Drosophila melanogaster: one gene and its partners. The gene in region 1 interacts genetically with each later gene. Each region holds a gene or a part of one and is shown in the gene's direction. Other genes may lie near its edges.

Evidence for each region.
Region 2: of Tak1 (region 1) and ben, changing one suppresses a phenotype caused by changing the other (phenotypic suppression), as found in Drosophila melanogaster (one study listed by BioGRID).
Region 3: of Tak1 (region 1) and Rab8, changing one suppresses a phenotype caused by changing the other (phenotypic suppression), as found in Drosophila melanogaster (one study listed by BioGRID).
Region 4: of Tak1 (region 1) and PGRP-LF, changing one suppresses a phenotype caused by changing the other (phenotypic suppression), as found in Drosophila melanogaster (one study listed by BioGRID).

What each region holds. Positions count from the first base shown.
Region 1 is NC_004354.4:20,521,912-20,526,563, reverse strand, and holds the start of Tak1 (TGF-beta activated kinase 1), read left to right. Parts: upstream 1-1,635; 5' UTR 1,636-2,596; coding exon 2,597-2,665; intron 2,666-3,205; coding exon 3,206-3,505; intron 3,506-3,743; coding exon 3,744-4,059; intron 4,060-4,118; coding exon 4,119-4,300; intron 4,301-4,522; coding exon 4,523-4,652. UniProt on the Drosophila melanogaster protein: Component of a protein kinase signal transduction cascade. Mediator of TGF-beta signal transduction. Responsible for activation of the JNK MAPK pathway (basket, bsk and hemipterous, hep) in response to LPS.
Region 2 is NC_004354.4:13,994,456-14,000,331, forward strand, and holds ben (bendless), read left to right. Parts: upstream 1-1,889; 5' UTR 1,890-2,068; intron 2,069-2,160; exon of another isoform or gene 2,161-2,342; intron 2,343-3,639; 5' UTR 3,640-3,705; coding exon 3,706-4,161; 3' UTR 4,162-5,350; downstream 5,351-5,876. Other genes in the region: Ste12DOR (stellate 12D orphon), read left to right, coding at 5,755-5,765, 5,823-5,876. UniProt on the Drosophila melanogaster protein: Catalyzes the covalent attachment of ubiquitin to other proteins.
Region 3 is NT_037436.4:19,866,919-19,872,755, reverse strand, and holds Rab8 (Rab8), read left to right. Parts: upstream 1-1,677; 5' UTR 1,678-2,251; coding exon 2,252-2,375; intron 2,376-3,197; exon of another isoform or gene 3,198-3,229; coding exon of another isoform or gene 3,230-3,248; intron 3,249-3,327; coding exon 3,328-3,388; intron 3,389-3,448; coding exon 3,449-3,653; intron 3,654-3,891; coding exon 3,892-4,032; intron 4,033-4,110; coding exon 4,111-4,203; 3' UTR 4,204-5,268; downstream 5,269-5,837. Other genes in the region: Usp32 (ubiquitin specific protease 32), read right to left, coding at 1,302-1,362.
Region 4 is NT_037436.4:9,347,922-9,351,989, forward strand, and holds PGRP-LF (peptidoglycan recognition protein LF), read left to right. Parts: upstream 1-1,687; 5' UTR 1,688-1,764; coding exon 1,765-1,903; intron 1,904-1,974; coding exon 1,975-2,126; intron 2,127-2,522; coding exon 2,523-2,907; intron 2,908-2,945; exon of another isoform or gene 2,946-2,966; coding exon 2,967-3,400; 3' UTR 3,401-3,568; downstream 3,569-4,068. Other genes in the region: PGRP-LC (peptidoglycan recognition protein LC), read left to right, coding at 1-254; UGP (UDP-glucose pyrophosphorylase), read right to left, coding at 3,822-3,929, 3,997-4,068.

The sequences.
Region 1 (4,652 bases):
GGGTTGACACGGGTGCTGATGTTACGGTTGTGATGTACTCGGTGTACATGAGGCAAAAAGATGTTGTGCTAAGTCCATGTCGTTCTTTGTTGCGTGGCCTGGGCAAGGCGGCCACGTTGCCTCTGGGAGTTTTCGCTGGAGATGTTCAAATAGACGATATGGAGACTGTTCAAAACTTCATCGTGGTGGCGGATGAAAAAATGGAAGGTGATGGAAGTGCATTGGATACGATTTTCTATCGAAGTTTCAATTTACACTGGATGTAAATGGGTTTACGTTTTGTGTCGTTATCAGCTTGGCCTGAGGTAGCTAACATTAACCAGATAAGTATTCACGATTATGTTTGCACTGAAAGTAATGTGAATGCTCCTCCCCAATTTGCACCTATGATACGGAAGCTGATAGACGAATATCATCCAACCTCCAATTGTGCCGGATGAGAAAATTAAGACGTTTCGTCATCAACCAAGTCGACATCCGCCAGTTAAAGCCAAAGCCGTTAAAAAACAAGTCGATGACTGGTTAAAAGAAGAAATCGATTGACCATCTACTTCAAGCTTCGCCAGTAGAACTGTCGTAGTGAAGAAAAAAGTACGGCACTTACAGAATCTGTATAGGACTATCGCCAATTAAACAGCATGGTTCTCAAGGATTGCTTCCCTGTGTCGATTTCCTGCAATTCTACTGCGGCATTTATAAGATTTATAAACCACATATTCCCGAGACATTCTACAACTCTATATGGATGATATTATAATATATGGACAGACGAATGACGAATGTATTAAGAAACTAAAGTTGGTGCTATTAGAATCAGCGAAGTTCGGCTTACGTATAAAGTGAAAGAAATGTCATTTCATACGCACGATATTGGAAGAACGACCTTACAATGACCTTAAACTGAAGGGAGGAGTTTTATTCATGTTTGTCAAAGGAAATGATTTGCTTATTGTACCTAAAATAATCGAACGTAAGATTATAAACGAAGCTCATGGATTCGGACATTATGCAAACCAGAACAAACCGTACATTCTATACAACAGCAGTTTTGGATTCCACACCTAGAGAGCAAGGTCGAAAAGCTTATAGACGCGTGTATTCCGTGTATTATTACGAACAAAAAGCTGGGCAAACAGGATGGACTTTTATGATGCATTGAGAAAGGTGACAAGCCGTTACACAATATAAGTACATCTTCGCACTTGTTGGTGGATTTTTGAAATTCGTGTGGATTTTTACTACAAAATGTCTTAACAACAACTGGAGTTGCCAGAGGAAATGGGCGGGTAGAGAGAATTAAATAGATCTATCTTATCGTTTTAAAAATACAACAACGATTGAAAACTCTCGAAATGGGATGTACTGGCGCCATCTATCGGAGGTAATAGGTACCCCGAGACGCATGCAAAGCGCCAGAGGGCGACACAGCTCCTCTGACGAGATGGCATCACTATTTTTATTGGGAGTATTGGTATCTCGGGTGTAAAAATTAAATTGATGCCTAATTTTTGAAAATATGTCACACAAATAATAAGTATCTTTTAAGTGGATAGATCCATTGATGTCGCTGGAATTAAAAATACAAATACCAATGTTATCGTTATCGGCGAGTCCACACTGTGCTAGGCAAAAATATCGACGTACCTTGCGCCCGATATCTGGCACTAATGTATCGATGACGGTCTTGTTAAATTATTAAAAAAAAAACAAGTTTGTACTTGAAAAGTACGGCGTATATCTACAGCGAAGAACGCAAGAACCCGCCAAGGCAGCGTCCGATGCAGACGCCATCTGTTCAAGCATTGAGCCCGGAATCCGGAGGAATCCCGGCCAGGATGTGATGTGCGCACTGGGCCCTCTCCGCTGGTCGATATAAACTCGTGCCCCCCTCTTCTAGCCACCTTCTTGCTGTCAACCGCCTGCTCATTCTACCCCACAGTTCCAGTCCCAGTCCTGCACAGCAATCATCTTCGCCTGGAGAAGTCTACCGGTAGCACGAGTGGTGGAACCAGGCAGACTACAAAGGACACGGAGACCGCGGTGTCTGGGAAATCGGCTGAGCACGGAAACCGATCCACTAGGGTTGGCATCACGCACCACTTTGTCCAGGAACCTGCAGCTGAGGAATCTAGATAACATCTGAAGTCTCCTGGGAACTGCGAAACACACCATATCTTAGCAAAATGACGTGGTAAAAGTTGTCAGTCGCAATCTATACAAAGGCAAGAAACTTTATGATGAATCCAGGTCTAGATCTTGCAAAGATTCCGAAAACTCTGTCCCCAAGAGGGAACCAAAGGCACAGTTAGCCAGCAATGAAATCGGGAACCCACGGAATCGTAGCCACTAAAAAGGCGAAATCCCGGTAATTCTACCAAAATAGCGCACCACCTGGACACCATAGAAGAGAGCCTTAAGGCAAGGAATCGGTGGCATACTTGGACAGTTGAAGAGAACTTTAAATCTGGTAATCAGCGGCGCCAAATGCAACTGCAACTGGTAAACTAGTACTCATTTGTAAGCCAAAACACTGACAAACAAAAGCTGCATCTGAAAAGCAAGTAGAGAACACCAGGATACTTAGCGTTCCACGGAGATGGCCACAGCATCGCTGGACGCACTGCAGGCAGCCTATGTGGACTTCAGTGAGATAACACTAAGAGAGGTGTGCATACCAAACGGAATATACCCAAAGTCTAGAGCTCCTATTGGTGTATACGTATACGCAATCTTGAAACGATAAACAACCAGTAATCATATACCATTTAGGGCAGAGCAAGTACTCATTCTTAGTTAGTCAGACGATTATCGCACTTTCAAAAAGCATGTTTTAATCTATAAACGGTTATTTTTTCGTTTTAAAAGTGTATGCTTTGTAACAGCTCTGTTAAAAAACCCAAGAAAGGTTTTATATTTTAAACTTACGCATTCCTAAATGCTTACATTCGTTTTAGGATTTCGTTTCAAACTTATTAAAACAAACTACAGACTGTATACAAATATCAGCATATTTATTAACGATACGATCTTATCAGTTTGATAAGAAACGAATTTCAAATTTACCCATCACAATGCGTTCGTGTGTTCTACTTGAAGTCAATTCAAACTGTGTTAGACCAAGGTGTATAACGTAATTAGTATTGAGGAGTTTTGCACAAGGAGGGTACAACTGTTGAATCAGATCTAATAATCTTTTTCCCCGCAGAAAGTCGGCCATGGGTCCTACGGAGTGGTCTGCAAGGCCGTTTGGCGCGACAAGCTGGTTGCCGTCAAGGAGTTCTTCGCCAGCGCCGAGCAGAAGGACATCGAGAAGGAGGTGAAGCAGTTGTCGCGCGTGAAGCACCCGAACATCATCGCTCTGCACGGGATATCCTCGTACCAGCAGGCCACCTACCTGATAATGGAGTTCGCCGAAGGTGGATCGCTGCACAACTTCCTTCACGGCAAGGTGAAGCCGGCATATTCTCTGGCCCACGCCATGAGCTGGGCGCGCCAATGTGCAGAGGTAGGTCGTCGTCGAGGGGCGGGGCGGTTATAACGTAGGGCTCAACCCCGTAGCGCTTTCCATCCAATTCGTTGAAATTATCTGGTGAAATAATGACTCAAATGGATTGTGGTAATTCACATTGCTTGCATGATTACTTAAACAATTTCAATAGCTATTCCGCATAACCAGAATTAAAATAATAGTAATTTGTTTAAAGTTTAGCCCTAATTACATTTCCATTTGTTTTCCTCTCTAGGGTCTGGCATATTTGCATGCCATGACGCCAAAACCACTAATACATCGCGACGTGAAGCCGCTGAACCTGCTCTTGACCAACAAGGGACGCAATCTGAAGATATGCGACTTCGGCACGGTGGCGGACAAGTCGACCATGATGACCAACAATCGCGGCAGTGCCGCTTGGATGGCGCCCGAGGTCTTCGAAGGCTCCAAGTATACGGAGAAGTGTGACATTTTTAGCTGGGCCATTGTTCTATGGGAGGTTCTGTCCAGGAAGCAGCCCTTTAAAGGCATCGACAATGCCTACACCATCCAGTGGAAGATCTACAAGGGTGCGTCCTCCAATTCACTCTTTTTCCATCGAGCTTATCGAGATCTGTGCTCCTCGCAGGTGAACGCCCGCCGCTGCTGACCACTTGCCCCAAGCGCATCGAGGACCTGATGACCGCCTGCTGGAAAACGGTGCCCGAGGATCGCCCGTCGATGCAGTACATAGTGGGCGTTATGCACGAGATCGTCAAGGACTATACGGGGGCGGACAAGGCCCTGGAATACACGTTTGTTAATCAACAGGTGAGACAGCTTTATTGGGTCAATACACAATTGTAAAAGAGTCAATTGGTGTTTTTATCTATTGAGGAAAGCGTTCTTTTACTCTGCCCGTCTTTAAAACCTAATTTAAATTCGATATTGTTTGGCACTAAATGCAATCATTACCCTATACGGATAACATCACTTTTGCGTTATTTTCCTTTGCCACACATTGCTAACTCTTGATCCTTGAACTGCTCGCAGATTGTCACCAAAGAGAGCGACGGCACGGTGGCCGCTCAACCGGATAGCCTCAGTTCGCAGGAGGGGGAACTGAGCCCCTCGTCCACACAGTTAACACCGACAACGGCGGCCAACGCCAATGTGAACGCGA
Region 2 (5,876 bases), 6.5 Mb from region 1:
AGGAAAAAATGCATTGAGGTTTTCTATTCCGATATATGTATGTACATATGTACATAGATACATCTATTATTTCAATGACTTATTGTACGAAAACCAAGAGAATTTCATTATATTCTACCACTAAAGAAGTGGCTATACTAGTCTTTCTTTTTCGACTAAATCTTCACTTTGTAGCAGAACTTTAAAACGTCCTTCGATTTGAATGTCTTCTTACACTCTTCACCTCGTCTTCTCTATCAATTTCTTCTCCCCTTTCCCCCCTCACTTTCTATCACATTCCTTTGAAGATCAGCTGTAGCGGTTAGAATTTGGCCATATCGAGCGTAAAAATACATAGAGGAAGGCACTAAAAACAGCTGCAGCTCAAGAGCGAATAAAGGTCGCCCCCGTTCCGCCCTCTCTTGCTCTTTCATCCCCTCTCGCACCAACCCACACACTTTCACACACACACACACACACGTGCACTGCGTAGGGAAAAGCAGCGCAGTTGCAGCAGAAAAACAGATAAACAGCAAAGCAGAAAAGAGGCAGGTTGCTCTCTCTCGCTCTCACTTGTGGGCTGGACTACAGTCGTTGTTGTTGGTTTGGCCAGCCTAAAAACGGAGATCGCACGTGTGTGTGTGTGTTTGTGTGCGGTGTGTGTAATGCTTATGGCTGTCTTGCTGTTGTTGGTTTTGTTGCCCTTTTGCAGTTGGTGTTTGTTTTTATCTCACACTCGCACACACACATGCAACCGGCCTATGCAATCGAACGAATACGAATGGTAAATAGCATGTGTGTGTGCGAGCGAGAGGTTTCGCTTGTTTTTTTTTGTATTTTAGTTTTCTGCCTTCCGCCTTGTGGTTTTTGTTGTTGCTCATTTCGGCTTCTTGTGCGTCCATTGGGCATTGCATTCGAGGTGTGTGGGTGTGAGTGCAAGTGCGCAGTTGTGTGTGTGTGTTCGGACAGCCTCTCTTTTTAAAAACGCATAAATGTTGATTACAGTAAATTGACAATTTGTTGTTGTTGCTATCTCGCTTTTTGGGTTTATGTTTTTGCACGTGTCTGATTGGAATCCTGTACCGGCTCCTTTTAGACTTGTTAAATAACGAAACCTATGTACAATCATTTTTTTAATCATTAATTTGCTATCGAATAATACTAAAGAAATAAAATTTATTTTAATTTGCATGCAATTTTTTTTTATTATAAGTCTTATTGTGATAAAAGTTTTTGGGAAACACATGGTTATGATGTTAAAAAGAACATAAAACCATATTAATAAGTGCTAATATGCAGTTCAAATATCGCTTTATAAAGTGCTGACATAAATGACCAAATTTCTCGAGAATTTTAGATGTATTTACCTTAGGTATGAAGTTAGGTTACATCTGATGAATATTAAAAATGCAAAGCATTGGTTTTAAGCAACGAAAACAAAGATCAAAGTCGTCGATTAAATAAATCCCGACTAAATTTATTGCTTATTCCCGGGAACTTACACTTTTTGTTACTTCTCTTTCGTGTTTCTTTCAACTGGATTTGTCCCGCCAATTTTCCAATCAAAATTTCTGACAGAAAAAAGCTAAGCGCTCCAAAACCTTGGGTTGTAGCGTGCCGAAGAGCTGATTGCTATGAAACACTGTCCTATTTGACAGCCGCTAAGCGCTAGAGTTGTCACCGAAAATGCGTTTTTACTAGTGCGAACAATAAAATTACCTGCGCAAAAATGGAAAAATGGGATAAAAAACAAGATGAGTAGCAAAGAAAATATTTAAAGATATATTTGTACTGAAATTAAACTGAGAAGGAGGTGCAAACGTGTTGCAAAAAAATTGAATTCACATCTAGGCACCCTAGCAACCCTGTCATTTTGACATTGCCGCTCACACGCACGCCACACAGACGCACGTTAGTCACAGCAACGCACACACACACTACCAAACGGCTACATTTTTTTTCGAGTGTGTTCGACATTCATAATTTTTGTGGTGGAGCTGCCTGCAAAATCGAATTTTATCAGTTTGCCAACGAAGTTATCGGCCATAACTGCAAATAAAGTTCAGCAATAACTTGGCGCTGTTACGATGTGAGTTTGTGTTTTATCGAAAGTTGCATACTTTATCTAAAAACCATTGTTTTTGTCCAAAAATGTTGTAAATGCCCGAAAAAATACCAAAGTGAGAACAACAACAACAACAGCAGCAAAAAAAAAGCAGGAGCAGCAGCAGCAGAAGAAGCAGAGGCAGCAGATAAAATTTAATATAATATCGAAGAAGAGCAAGAAAAAAGCCGTAAAAGTTGATAAATCGAATATATATGTGTGTGTGTGTGAAAAATAATAATTGCGGCGTTCGCACCAAGTATTCGCCGTTTTTTTCTATTAACTTAAATTCGCCAAAAAAGCGGCGTTTGCTTTTCTTCTTTTCTTGACTCGCCCTCTTTGTCTCACCCATCCGCATATTCTCTTTTCGCCTTTGTCTTTTTCGTGCGCGTTGTCTGCATTTTGTCTGTGTGCGTGGGTGCGTGACTCGCTGTGTCTGTGTGTGTGCGTATGCAAGCGAAATTGTTGCTTGTAAAAAAGAAAAATCTTATTTGGTTTTTTTTTTGTAGTTTAATTGCCAACATTATTGATTTTTCAAGCGGTTCACCCCGTTTCTCCCCCTCCGCATTCCTCCTGTCCAATCTGCTTCTTCTTCCTCTGCGGAACTACGTGCATTTGTCACCCAAAAGGGAAATCAATAAGTTGGTAAAACAGCGAAACGCCGCACATTATGGTTAAATTATTGCTGTTTTCGCGTTAATAACGCAATTTCTTTTGTTTGCTTCGAGTGTTTTTCGTTGCTGTTGTTGTTGCTTTCGCAATACAATTTCTGGAAATTTTGGGGCATTCATTTATTGCCTTTTGTTTCTGGTTTATCTGCGTCTTTCTTTCCCCTTCTCCTCTTTATTTTACTTGATTTTCCGTGTGTCTGGGAAATGTAAACAGTTAAAGGAGCCGCAAGGTCACGCTAAAGGAGTTGGCAATAGTGGGTGGGCTTTGACTTACACAAGCAGAAATTTATTTTGAACTTCGCAAAAAGTGTAACGGAAATAAATCCAGAAAATATTGAAAATATTGGTTTACAATATAGTCTAGATATCCAGAATCAAGTTAATAACTTTGAATTCCGTTCATATACTTCAATATAAATATTATTAAGTACTACAATTTGAAAACATCTTTAAATATACAACATATTTTGAATTAGTTTATTTTTTTTTTTAGCCACATAGAGACATCTTTGTGGCATGCTAAATTCTGTAGTAAAACTTTCTTGGGGAAAGTGAAAGCCACGTATCAGACCAAAATCCACCCAACCCTGCACACACGCATCCCCATAAAGAACGACCTTGAGCTGCAAAAAGGAAAATTCTCTTTGACTTGCCACGCTCTTCCCCAAGAAAACCAAGTGAAACTCCAATTTACTAATGCTACTATTTCACCGATACATGTAGTTGAGCCCTTATTTAAATTAGTAATTAGTTTAATTTCACAGTTGAAACCACGACTGTAAACATTAGGGATACTAATTTATAGTCTTAATTAACGTTGAGTGGATAGTGGATGATACCGAGGAACTACTTAATTGGTTAACTTCACTCCGATCTCGTTTGCAGCTCAACGAGAAGGTCCAGACTCAACCCGCGTTTCCAGTTCACCGCGTAAAAGGAACCAGCTAAACGATGTCCAGCCTGCCACGTCGCATCATCAAGGAGACTCAACGTTTGATGCAGGAGCCAGTGCCTGGGATCAATGCCATTCCCGATGAGAACAATGCCCGTTACTTCCATGTGATCGTGACCGGACCGAACGATTCGCCCTTCGAGGGCGGCGTGTTCAAGCTGGAGCTGTTCCTACCGGAGGACTATCCAATGTCAGCGCCCAAAGTGCGCTTCATCACGAAGATCTACCATCCGAACATCGATCGTTTGGGCCGCATTTGCCTCGACGTGCTGAAGGACAAGTGGAGTCCAGCCCTGCAGATCCGGACCATATTGCTATCCATTCAGGCACTGCTCAGTGCACCCAATCCCGACGATCCGCTGGCCAACGATGTGGCTGAGTTGTGGAAGGTCAACGAGGCGGAGGCCATTCGCAATGCCCGCGAGTGGACCCAGAAATATGCCGTCGAAGACTGAACGCCCGAGGTCAGGAGGAAAGTCAGAAAGCGGATCCGTCAGTTGTATCGGCGTTTTTCCAGAAAGTGGGTGCGTGACATGAACGGGCGGGTGGGTAAATTGAATACTTTAAAAGCAACCAGAAAAACCTAAAACATACGAAAGAAAACATAAAATAAGAAAAAAGTAAGGAAGCAAACATAAAAAAAAACGATTTAAGAACACATTTTTTTTTCGAACCTTCTGGGGCGGGATATACATATAAAATATTAATATATATATTTTTTTCAACCAATCGATCGGGGCGATCGGCGAAATGGAGGAGAGATAGCGAAAGCATTCTTTATGTAAGACGTATACATGTATCCGAAACAAACTAAAAACGAAAAAAAAAAAAAAAAAAAAAAACAGTAATTGGTTTTAGTCGTTTCTATTGATTTGTTCGAGGGTTCTGGTGTCTATATACATATAGCCGTATATAATTCTATGTGTAACTGAAATAACCAACCCATAACCATTAACACATGTAGCATCAGATATGATAAATCAATTGGAAAGGCAAACAAGAAGGGATTTTGATTTCCTTTAACTCGTCATTTGAAAACTCGGCTTAAATGTCAATTCAAAATAGAGAATTTTGATTGTATCATTTTCAGTGTTTCAGAAAATTTAAGATGTGATCGTCCAACTTGTAGACTTTACTTTTCTTAACTAAGAGTTCACCATTTCGATTGATACTTGAGCTTTGCCTGGGTTGTGTCAGAGTCCCTTTGATAAACGATAAATAGTTTTTACTCGAAAACAATTTTTTTTAACCAAACAATGAAGCCTTTAAGCTATTAGTAATTTTTGAAAAAAAAAAAAATAAAAAATATATATATAAAAAATATACAAAAATATGATACATGATCAAAATACAATGAATGCATACACTATATATTTATACAAAAAAAATACAAAAAGAAAAACAAAAGTAGTGGCTTGATTGCGTGAAAATTTCAAGTGCAGTTCTCAACAAAAATTGTGTACAGTAATTAAATGTTTGTCACCGAAATCACTAAAGGATAATCCAAAAAACAATAGCAACCGAAAAGCAACCATAAATCAAAGAGTAAGCGAAAATAAAAATTCAGTTTTCTTTAATTTTAATTAATTTTTTTCTAAGAAAAATAAATAAAAACGAAAAATTCAAATAAAAATTATAAAAAATAAACCGAGTTGTGTTTTATTTAAATAGTTAAGTGGTAATATAACTGAATGGTAAGTTTATTAATTAATTTAAGTGTTAAAAAATTACTGAATTTATAGGATTTTGATTTGGATACTATTTATAAATAGTATCAGCCGATGCTGCCTTGTCGAAACAATGACATTTGATTTGTTTTTGGCCCAACTGACACATAAAATATCGTATGCATAACATATTATGAAATAAAAGAACTAATACTTATTATGCCAGCCGAACATAAAACGAATTTTCGAGTCTAGAGTTCCCATCTGGAAGGGCATGACAGAGTCCTGGCAGGCCTTTTAGCACGTGTCAAAAACTCAAAGAAGAAGACGATGACTTTGAAGTCTACAAATCATATTTCTCTGAACAAGTGAACTGGCAACATGTCGAGCTCGTAAGTAACTAGGTTTTTCCTATAGAAATTATAGCAAGTCACAGTAAAATCTTGTAGCCAGAACAACAACAGCAGCTGGATCGATTGGTTCCTCGGGATCAAGGGCAACCA
Region 3 (5,837 bases), on another chromosome or scaffold:
TGTTAACTGCAACTCGAGTCTGCGATTATTGACCACCGCGCACATACTTGCATGCTAGTCCTCACTTCCCCCTTGGTTTTACTGGAACCGGTTGGAGTGGCTAATAAGAAACACACGCACCCGGTCGCACGCCCCACACCAGTGATGGTGGGTGGTGGAGGGGTGGTCCGGAGTGCTGGTGTTCCGGGGGAGTGAGCCTTATCAGCGACACTCGTTTTCTTAACTCTGGCTGGGCCGCCTGGCCACAAATCAGCAACCATAACCATAACAACACCAGCATTTAGATGATTGCCAGCGCAAAGGGAAGGCGGAATAAAGTAAGTGAAAAGCACTAAGGGAAGCTAAACGTCATTGAAAGTGGGCCGAAAATGGGTATACAAGTTGGCTTAAATAATCTTAACTCTTCTGAATGATTACCAATTTTATTGCTGGTTCATTATTATAAAATATTTGGAGAAGAGTGAACATTCCGATTTTCATACTTTGTAAATAAATTTCTATTTTTTTGGCTTATCAGCTTGTTTTAAACACAGTAATTCCTTTTCCTATCTGAACATATTCCACTTAAAGAGGAATTTTAAGAAATAAGGAAATGACATGCAGAATTAAAAGCCCAATGAATTATTTATTTTAAAACATTTTTCTTATGGATATTCCAATTGGAAAATCGAAATCCAAAATGCTCCCCTTTCATTATAATTTCATTTCATTATAAACAAAAAAATTTTAAAGTAGGCTTCTTTATAAAATACTTCAACAGAAGACCTTTGCCCATAGAGTGCGAATTGAAATGAACACTGGAATGACATGCTGAACTTGAAATGAATCGTATTCGCAGCGACATCCGCATCCGCGCATTCCAGTCACCCTAAGCGTGAACTGCACTCCACTGGCTGTCTAACTGTTTCTCATGTGCCTTCGCTGCTTTGTTGTCTCTCACCCACACAGCGCACACCTCCAACTGCCACCCCATTCGGTTAGCTTTTCTATTGTGACGTCATTGGCGGCGGAGACGCAAATACCCATGCACATGAAAACACATGCAATAAAGAAGCCACACTGGAATGGCAGTAGATAATTGCAAGAGATAGGATTAAGAGGAGCATGAGGATGGTGGTGGCGGAAGTCAGTGGTGATTCCCGTTGGTCAGAAGACGTGGGCGCAACAACACAATGGAATCGATTGCACCTGCTTGTACGTTGTTGTTGCTTTCGCAGGGGGTTCTGTTTTCTTGATTGGCAGTGACCTATTTTCTGCGGCTGGGAGACGGCCCCACAAGTAACCAGCCGGAGGAGACTCACCGCGTTTCACCGAATCCTCGTAGCTGACGCTATTGGAGTGCTTGGACTCCTTGGTGCCCATGGTCCAGAATTTCTTGTTTGCGGGGGTGCAACTCAATGGATTCTGGGGCTCCGCCTGCTGCTGCGTCTGGCGACGCCACTTTTCACATTTGTTCAACTTCACTTCACAGTCGCGGGCGGAACAATAGGCTGCTGGCGAGGATCAGGTGCAGGATCACGACGATATATGTGTATGAATATATAATATACACCTGTCTTTTTGACTCTTGTCTTGTGCTATTTTCCTCTGTTTCTTTCTATATTCGCGCACTTTCCAACACTAACTGGAAACAGCTGTTTTCCCCATCGTACGATAAGCTATCGATAGACGACGGCGCGCCAGTGTTGCGCAGCAACGAATTATCGAAACTCATATTTTTTGTACGGGCGTAATTAGAAAGCAGTAATTAACTTCATTTCCACGTAATTTTCACAACAAACCAACGTAGACTCGCACCGCGTAGCGAGCGCCTTTGCATTTGCCCACCGGAAAAGCCGCCGCACGAAATCCGAAACTCGGGCACAGACAACAAAAAGGTCTTAAATCTACGTCGCCATTTTTGACACGGCTCCGAAATCGAAAACACAACACACACACCCAAGAGAAAAAGAGCTGCGCTGCGGAGAGAAGGAAAAAACTATACGTTTTCGATTCGAGTCGATTCAATTAGATTGTGGATTAGTGCGGTTACGTCTGGGTATAGTGTATATGTACATACATACGCTAAACGGCACGCATGGGGCATAATCGTGATTAGTGTTATTAGCCAAGAATCGGAGAGGAAGTCAGTCAGTTGATTAAGGAGACGACGACGTGTACAGAGCATCATCACCCTTAACCCGTACCCTAACCCCCAGCTAAGCACTATTATCGGGCCAGATACTGTGATCCTACCGCAAAAGCACACAAAATGGCCAAAACCTACGACTATCTGTTCAAACTGCTCCTGATCGGTGACTCCGGAGTGGGCAAGACCTGCATCCTCTTCCGATTCTCTGAGGACGCCTTCAACACAACGTTTATATCCACAATAGGTGAGTGTCATCATCCGCGTTTACCGTGTCTTCCGATTCTTAATTTTTTTTTTTTTTTGGTTATTAATTATAACACCTTCGTTCGCATGAACTCATTCGCAATTGGAAATCCGAGCTTCTGGCCCAGTGACTCATTAAATGCCTCTTTTCTTTTTTATTTCCTGCCCCATCCGGGCGCATTTGTCATAAATATTGTTGTTTCCATGGGAGGGGCACTCCCACCATGTTTGATTTCTCGCGCTTATTAAGATTTTCCCGTAAGGAATATATCCGGATGCCTTATCTCGCCCTGAGATTCACACCCGCATAGGAAAGCGATCAGAAATGAGTACTCAGTCCGAGTACCCATAGTCTTTGTACTTTCGCTGCTCTTATCGCCCCAGAAGCCGGATTGTTCCGATGCGAGACTTGACCGTCGCACGCCAAATCGGGAATGCCCTATTATATACCCAGCAGGCCCATGCCCAGTCTCAGAGGGAATTCAAGTAGTTGTTCCCGTACGAGTACAGTGAAGCCTTTCTACCAAACACAGCAAATACTTTTTAATAAATTCGAATCATAATCAGTACAACTTCAAGTGGCAGTTAAATCAGATTATGCTAGTAATTTTAAGCTTATTAAAATAATAATCACAATAATATTCGACATGCACACTGTACTTTCCCGTACTTGTAAACACAAAAGTAGAGCGATTCCCATTTCTGCTCGTGGCTAATAATTGTTTATTTTCGTTTTTGGCACGTTTTCATCGCGACACTTCCAATTTTGGGGCATTTACTTAACGACATTGTTTAAATTAATTGCGTGGTTTGTGGATTTCGGTTCTCTTCGTCTCTTATTTTAGCTGCGATGTCATGGGTTCCGACCAAACAGGTTTAGCCTCTTGCCAAATTATTTAAATTAATTAGCAAACGTACATGTGTGTATATGCTCATCTGTTTTCTCTTTTCAGGTATCGATTTTAAAATTAGAACAATTGAATTAGATAACAAGAAGATTAAGCTGCAGATATGGTAAGTACTAGGCGATTCATCTGTATTCTCTAATTACCTATATCTCCATTCATTTTCCAGGGACACTGCCGGCCAGGAGCGTTTTCGCACAATCACCACGGCCTATTACAGAGGTGCCATGGGCATCATGCTGGTATATGACATAACCCAAGAAAAGTCCTTCGAGAACATCAAAAACTGGATCAGGAATATCGAGGAAAATGCGTCCGCCGATGTCGAGAAAATGCTGCTGGGAAACAAGTGCGAATTGACCGATAAGCGACAGGTATGGAAAAAAGAAATTGGTGATTTCGCTGGCTATTCCTCCAAGTTCGTTTATTTGTTTGTTCCATAAAAGTTATCTACAAACATTTTATTTATATATTTCAAATTCAGTTAGTGTATAATCATTTGTTATTAAATCCAATAAGGGATAGACAATGATTTGGCGCAATATTCTTTTCAGCTTCATAAAGCTATCTGCCCTTAAGGCCGATAATTAAACAATTTTCCACCCGTTGTAGGTTTCAAAAGAGCGCGGCGAACAATTGGCCATCGAGTATGGCATCAAGTTCATGGAGACCTCCGCGAAGGCCAGCATTAACGTGGAAGAAGCCTTCCTCACCCTAGCCAGTGATATCAAAGCGAAAACGGAAAAGCGAATGGTGAGTGTGCGGGTGGCGAGACTCGGACAAAGCGTTTTTTTTACTGTGGCTAACCATTTACATCCTTTGTGTGCGCAGGAGGCGAACAACCCACCCAAGGGCGGCCATCAGCTGAAACCGATGGACAGTCGGACGAAGGACAGTTGGTTGTCCAGGTGCAGTCTGCTTTGACGTGGCAACGTGCGCTCGGCACTGAAGCGGCATGGTGGCAACGACTACACGGTAGTGGTTTATGGTGGTAACTACGAGGTAGTAGTTTTCTTAACTCCTGTTAGGTTCGAGTACAAGCGGGACCCCGACAAGCGGACATTAACTGACATCTAAATCAACCTTAAACATCAATCAGCAGCCGGCTCCCTTTAACCGAATAAGCGCGATAATGGAATAGAACACAAATTGCATTATGAAACAGTTATTAAATAAAGTATATGACGACAGCGTGTACGAAATATACCTAGGCATGATAATATGTATACATATATACGTATATAACTCAAGTTTAAAGATAAAACGATCCAGCGATAGCGAAAATCGAAGAGCAGCCAATCCAACCCGCCCGCGTCCTTCTCGAAGAGGTTTTAGTATTTACGGAATTATGATTTTCTCTAGCAGCCATGGTTGTCGATTTGTAAATTATTAATTGTAAAACAAATATATTGTATGTACTATGTATGCATATGATTAGTTTACCTGTCCTTGTTTTGCTCATTGCTTGTATGTACTTTCGATCGATTCAGAAACCCTTTTGCCATTACGTTGGGAATACGACGGAGGAGGTCCAGACGCACAATGACCCAAAAGTGTAAAACAGCCCAATCCGCCCCGCACCTCCCCCTACCCGGTCCTAACTTTATATAATATAATGTGGTAGTATCGCACAGATCGAGGGTGCTTATTATATTCTTCTTAATCTTCACACACATTTCATTTGGTTAGTTCGTACTCTATTTATTTTGTTCTTTGCCGCACACCACATGACTTTGTCAATAAAACGTTACACCTAATATTAAAACATTAACGAAGATTTGCAGATTTGCGAGATATCACCAATTAAAGGTAGTCTATCGATGAGAATCGATCGGCAGCAATAAACAATTATGAACACATACACAGCGCAGTAATATAAATAATGTGAAATTAAATGATAACTAATTGCATATTTGATATTAATTAATTACTTGTAATATTAATGATTAAACGTATACAATTTTATAAAAATAAATCATGTGCAAAACCAAAAACTTTTTATTTGAAAAGATTTTATGGCTCGTTTCGTAGCGCTGAGCTTCTGTCATAACAGAGACAGGCGAGTTCGACGCGTCGGACCCAAAGTCGCGTAGACAGATTGTGCTGTGGAGCATTGTAGAGTATGGGCTGAGGACTATCAACTTATACAAAATGTCCATGCTGCAATGCACTGGGTTTCCCAGGTACACTTGAGAGGACCTTAAGAAATCCAATACCAGTTTGTGGGTAAGTCTATTCGCTCAGGGTTCGATCAGGGATTACTCTTAAATGATCTGGATCATGTCCAATGACCCAAGTCGGATGGAGAGGATTATGAATATGAATCATAGCTTAATCGTTGACATACCGACGAGACATCATGTTGCATTATGGGGCATCATAAATTTATATATCTGTGTGGAAAATTAAAGAAAAGTCCCGTAAAGTTCTTATTATATGGTGGTAAAAGAGTTCGAAGCTAAGCTAATTAAAAATTGTAAAAAGAGCCCGTGGGAATTAAACATCCCTCACATGGCCAGACCACTGCACCCTCCGCCTCTTCATCTTCTTCAAAAATC
Region 4 (4,068 bases), on another chromosome or scaffold:
TGGGTGCCCACATGAACAATATAAACTATGACTCGCAGAGTCTTAGCTTCGCCTATATCGGATCGTTTAAGACCATCCAGCCGTCGGCCAAGCAACTAAGTGTTACTCGTCTTTTGCTGGAGCGTGGCGTAAAGCTGGGCAAGATTGCACCAAGCTACCGATTTACGGCGAGCAGTAAATTGATGCCAAGTGTAACCGATTTTAAGGCGGATGCGCTCTACGCAAGCTTCGCCAACTGGACTCATTGGTCGTGAATAGGTTAAGAGCTATTTCGATATTTTGCAATACTATCATTTATTTTCGTATTGATTTTGTATCATAGGTGTTCTCCCATTAATGTGTGGCATATTCGATTTAGCTAGAGTAACGATTCGTTTAAAAAGAAAATGTGATATTAAATAAAACAAAATGATTTACTTGATGAATTTCAATCATGTATGGGGATCAAGAACTAGCTGATAACTGGAATCGGGGAATTTCTGTAGAGGTGCTGTCTGGAACTGCCTGAAACCGGAAAAGTTGTAATATGGCTTGGCTTTTCTACGCATTCTTCCACCTGCGAGTTATGGGGCTTCCCCGATTATTGGAATTTTTAATTTCTTTCGCGACTATCTTAAAATTATTATATTATTATATTATAATTATTATTTTATACGGAGGTTAGTTTGCCTGGAGGTTGTTTTATCCGGACGTTAGTTTGCCTGCGGTTGTTTTATCCGGAGGTTTATTTATCCGGGAATCATTTTATCCGTTTTTATCCGGAGGTTAGGTTGCCTGGGGTTGTTTTATCCAGAGGTTAGTTTGCCAGGGGCTTAGCTTTCCTGGGCGTTACTTTATCGGGGGTTATTTTATCCGGAGGCTCGTTTGTTAGGGGGTTTGACTGGGGGAGTGTATTACCTGGAGGTTCATTTAACCCGAGGTTAGTTTGGCTTGGGGTTATTTCATCTGAAGGTTAGATCGTCTAGTGGTTATTATAGCAGGAGGTAAGTTTGCCTGGGGGTTTTTGTGGCTGGGTTTTGTTTTACCAGACATTTACTATCCGGAGGTTAGTTGGTCTGGAGTTCAGTTTGGCTGGGATATCTTATATCTGGCAAATATTTTATCCGGAGGTTGTATAGGCTCCATTTTACCTAAGTTTTAGTTTGTCTGTTAAAGAAATGTTTGCTAAATTCGCTTTCTTTTTCTACTTATCACGATCTATCTGCGTTCTATTTATGACAAAATAAAAACAGAATAATAATCGTGAAGAACTCTTTTTGGGTCAGTTGATCAAATCGCAGCCGCTAACTGTAGTCGGTCACTCATTCCAAGAAACCGGAAAACATCATAACTTCGGTCCAAAGATGAGCTAGCTTCTTTCAAAAACGCTAAGAGTAAGTATACGCCCCCTTGACAAAATGGGATTCCCATTTCTTGGACTGCTCACTACCATCAAATATCTCTTTCTAATCTCAAGTGGGCGGCGTTCAGAGATCGCGCACCCTGTTGCAAAAATGGCACCCTATATTAAGCTTTAAAAAGCTTTCTTTAGTTATACATACATATATTTATTTATAGGTATGAATATCTCTTATCAACAAGCTTATGAACTGCGCAGTCGCTTTAGGTTTTCAAATGTCCGGGGATTTTTCGGAGCCGTCAACAGAAATAAACAACAACCGGACTTGAGATCGGGTGCGTACTCACTTCAGTTGGCATCGGACGTTCGTCGTGCGAGGATCGATCGCGGTTGTGGGTAGTGCGATATAGTGAAAACATCTCAAGATGCCGAAAACAGTGGTAGTTACTCACCCAGGAAAACCGATAAATAACGAGAAAAGATTTCGCTTCGAGCTTCTCTATTTCTGTGTGATTCTTCTAATGGTTGTGGGTTTAGCAGCTGGCTATTTCATGTGGATGATGTGTGAGTCATTAAAGCGAATCGTAGATTGAATACAATTTAATAACCAATAACCAATTGTTAACCTGGTTTAGCCTTCTCCACACATTCGCCGAACAAGGGCCTACACATACTCGATCGCAGCGAATGGCTGGGGGAACCACCCAGTGGGAAGTACCCGCACCTTAAGCTTCCCGTCTCCAATATTATCATTCATCACACGGCAACCGAAGGATGCGAACAAGAGGTAAGTCTTACTTTGGGAATTTTAAATTGTTAATATCAAAGTGATATAGAATTGCTTTAAAGCTAACTTGAAACCAGTTTGTTTTACTTAGCTTACTGCGGCAATTACTTAGGATTCATGAAAAGGCTTTATTGTAACCAGTTGTTCTTTTCTTATCTACAAAAATTTATATAAATAATCAACCCAAAACTTTTCCTAGAAAGCCTCGTAAAACCGATATTATAATTCAATAGCTTGCCATAAAAAAAAACCCCCGCTTTGAGTCTATAGATCGACATACTTTTCGGTAAAAAACCCCCATTCTTCAGCACTATTTCGAGTTAATTAAACTTTTCTAAAAGTTAGCGGTTAAAAGACTGTTTACTTATGCATAAATCTTATTTCTATCTCGCCCAGGATGTTTGCATATACCGCATGAAGACCATTCAGGCGTTCCATATGAAATCTTTTGGTTGGGTCGACATTGGCTATAACTTTTTGGTGGGCGGCGATGGTCAAATATACGTAGGACGCGGCTGGCACATCCAGGGTCAGCATGTGAATGGATATGGTGCCATCTCCGTTAGCATAGCCTTTATCGGAACTTTTGTGAATATGGAGCCACCAGCTCGACAAATCGAAGCAGCCAAGCGACTGATGGACGAGGGCGTACGTCTCCATAGATTGCAACCGGATTATCATATATATGCCCATCGACAATTAAGCCCCACCGAAAGTCCTGGCCAGAAGCTTTTCGAGCTGATGCAAAATTGGCCCCGATTCACGCAGGATCCAACATCATGTAATGCAGTTGAAAGAAAAAAATACGAGAATATATTTATTTTCAAAATTTATTTTCAGTGCGACTCCTAAGCAATGAGACTGTAAAGATCGTTACCCGACCCTATTGGTTGGCCCAGCCACCTATAGTGCCACTTACTCCTTTGAAGCTGCCAATTGAGAGCGTGAGATTTGTGGCAACCAACACGCCATCATGTTTCACTCAAGCCGAGTGCACTTTTCGAGTGCGCCTTCTGCAAAATTGGCACATCGAGAGCAATGGATATAAGGATATTAACTATAATTTCGTTGCGGCTGGGGACGAAAACATCTACGAGGCCAGAGGTTGGGATCACAGCTGTGAACCTCCAAAAGATGCAGATGAACTAGTCGTGGCCTTTATTGGTCCATCGAGTAGCAATAAAAAGATAGCATTAGAACTAATCAAACAGGGCATAAAACTTGGTCATATAAGCAAGAACTATAGTCTAATTGACGATTTAGAAAAGTCATAGAAAACTGAAAGCAAGGGGAATGAAACTTGGCTAGTGCCATTCCTGTGCCATTTTTCAAAGTGATATTAATTTAAGACCTAATGTTAAGCATCACAAATATCTCACATCCAATAGGTGACAATCTCCTTCGTATTTATAGAAATAAACATGCCTTTATTGAGTTTCAACAGCTGCTATCTTTTATATCTCATTTGAACGACTACAACTAACATTTTTGAAAACATATTGCAATTCGATTTTGATTAAAAACCCTGACTGATTTCTACTTAACGATATATACAGATGACACACTTTGTGCTTACAACAATTGGCTAAATGAAATTCGTTATTGGAAATTTGAAACGCGAACATGGCTACTACATAAAACTTAGACAATTAGACTACAGTTAGTGAGACGATATCCAATTGTACAGGATTTGATTTAGTGGTCCAAGATGCGCATATTGCCAGATACAATCTTGTTCTCCAGAATGGCTCCAGCTGGGATATCGATACGATCGCCATGGTTAGCAATGATGATCACAGTGCCCTGCAGAATCAAGTTAAGACATGTTATTAGCGTATTTAAAATACCATTCAATATTATTCAAACTTACGCGCAAAGAAACGCCACGACCGAAAGTCACATCTCCGCTCACGGTCAAGTGATCCAGCTCAATGATGTCCGG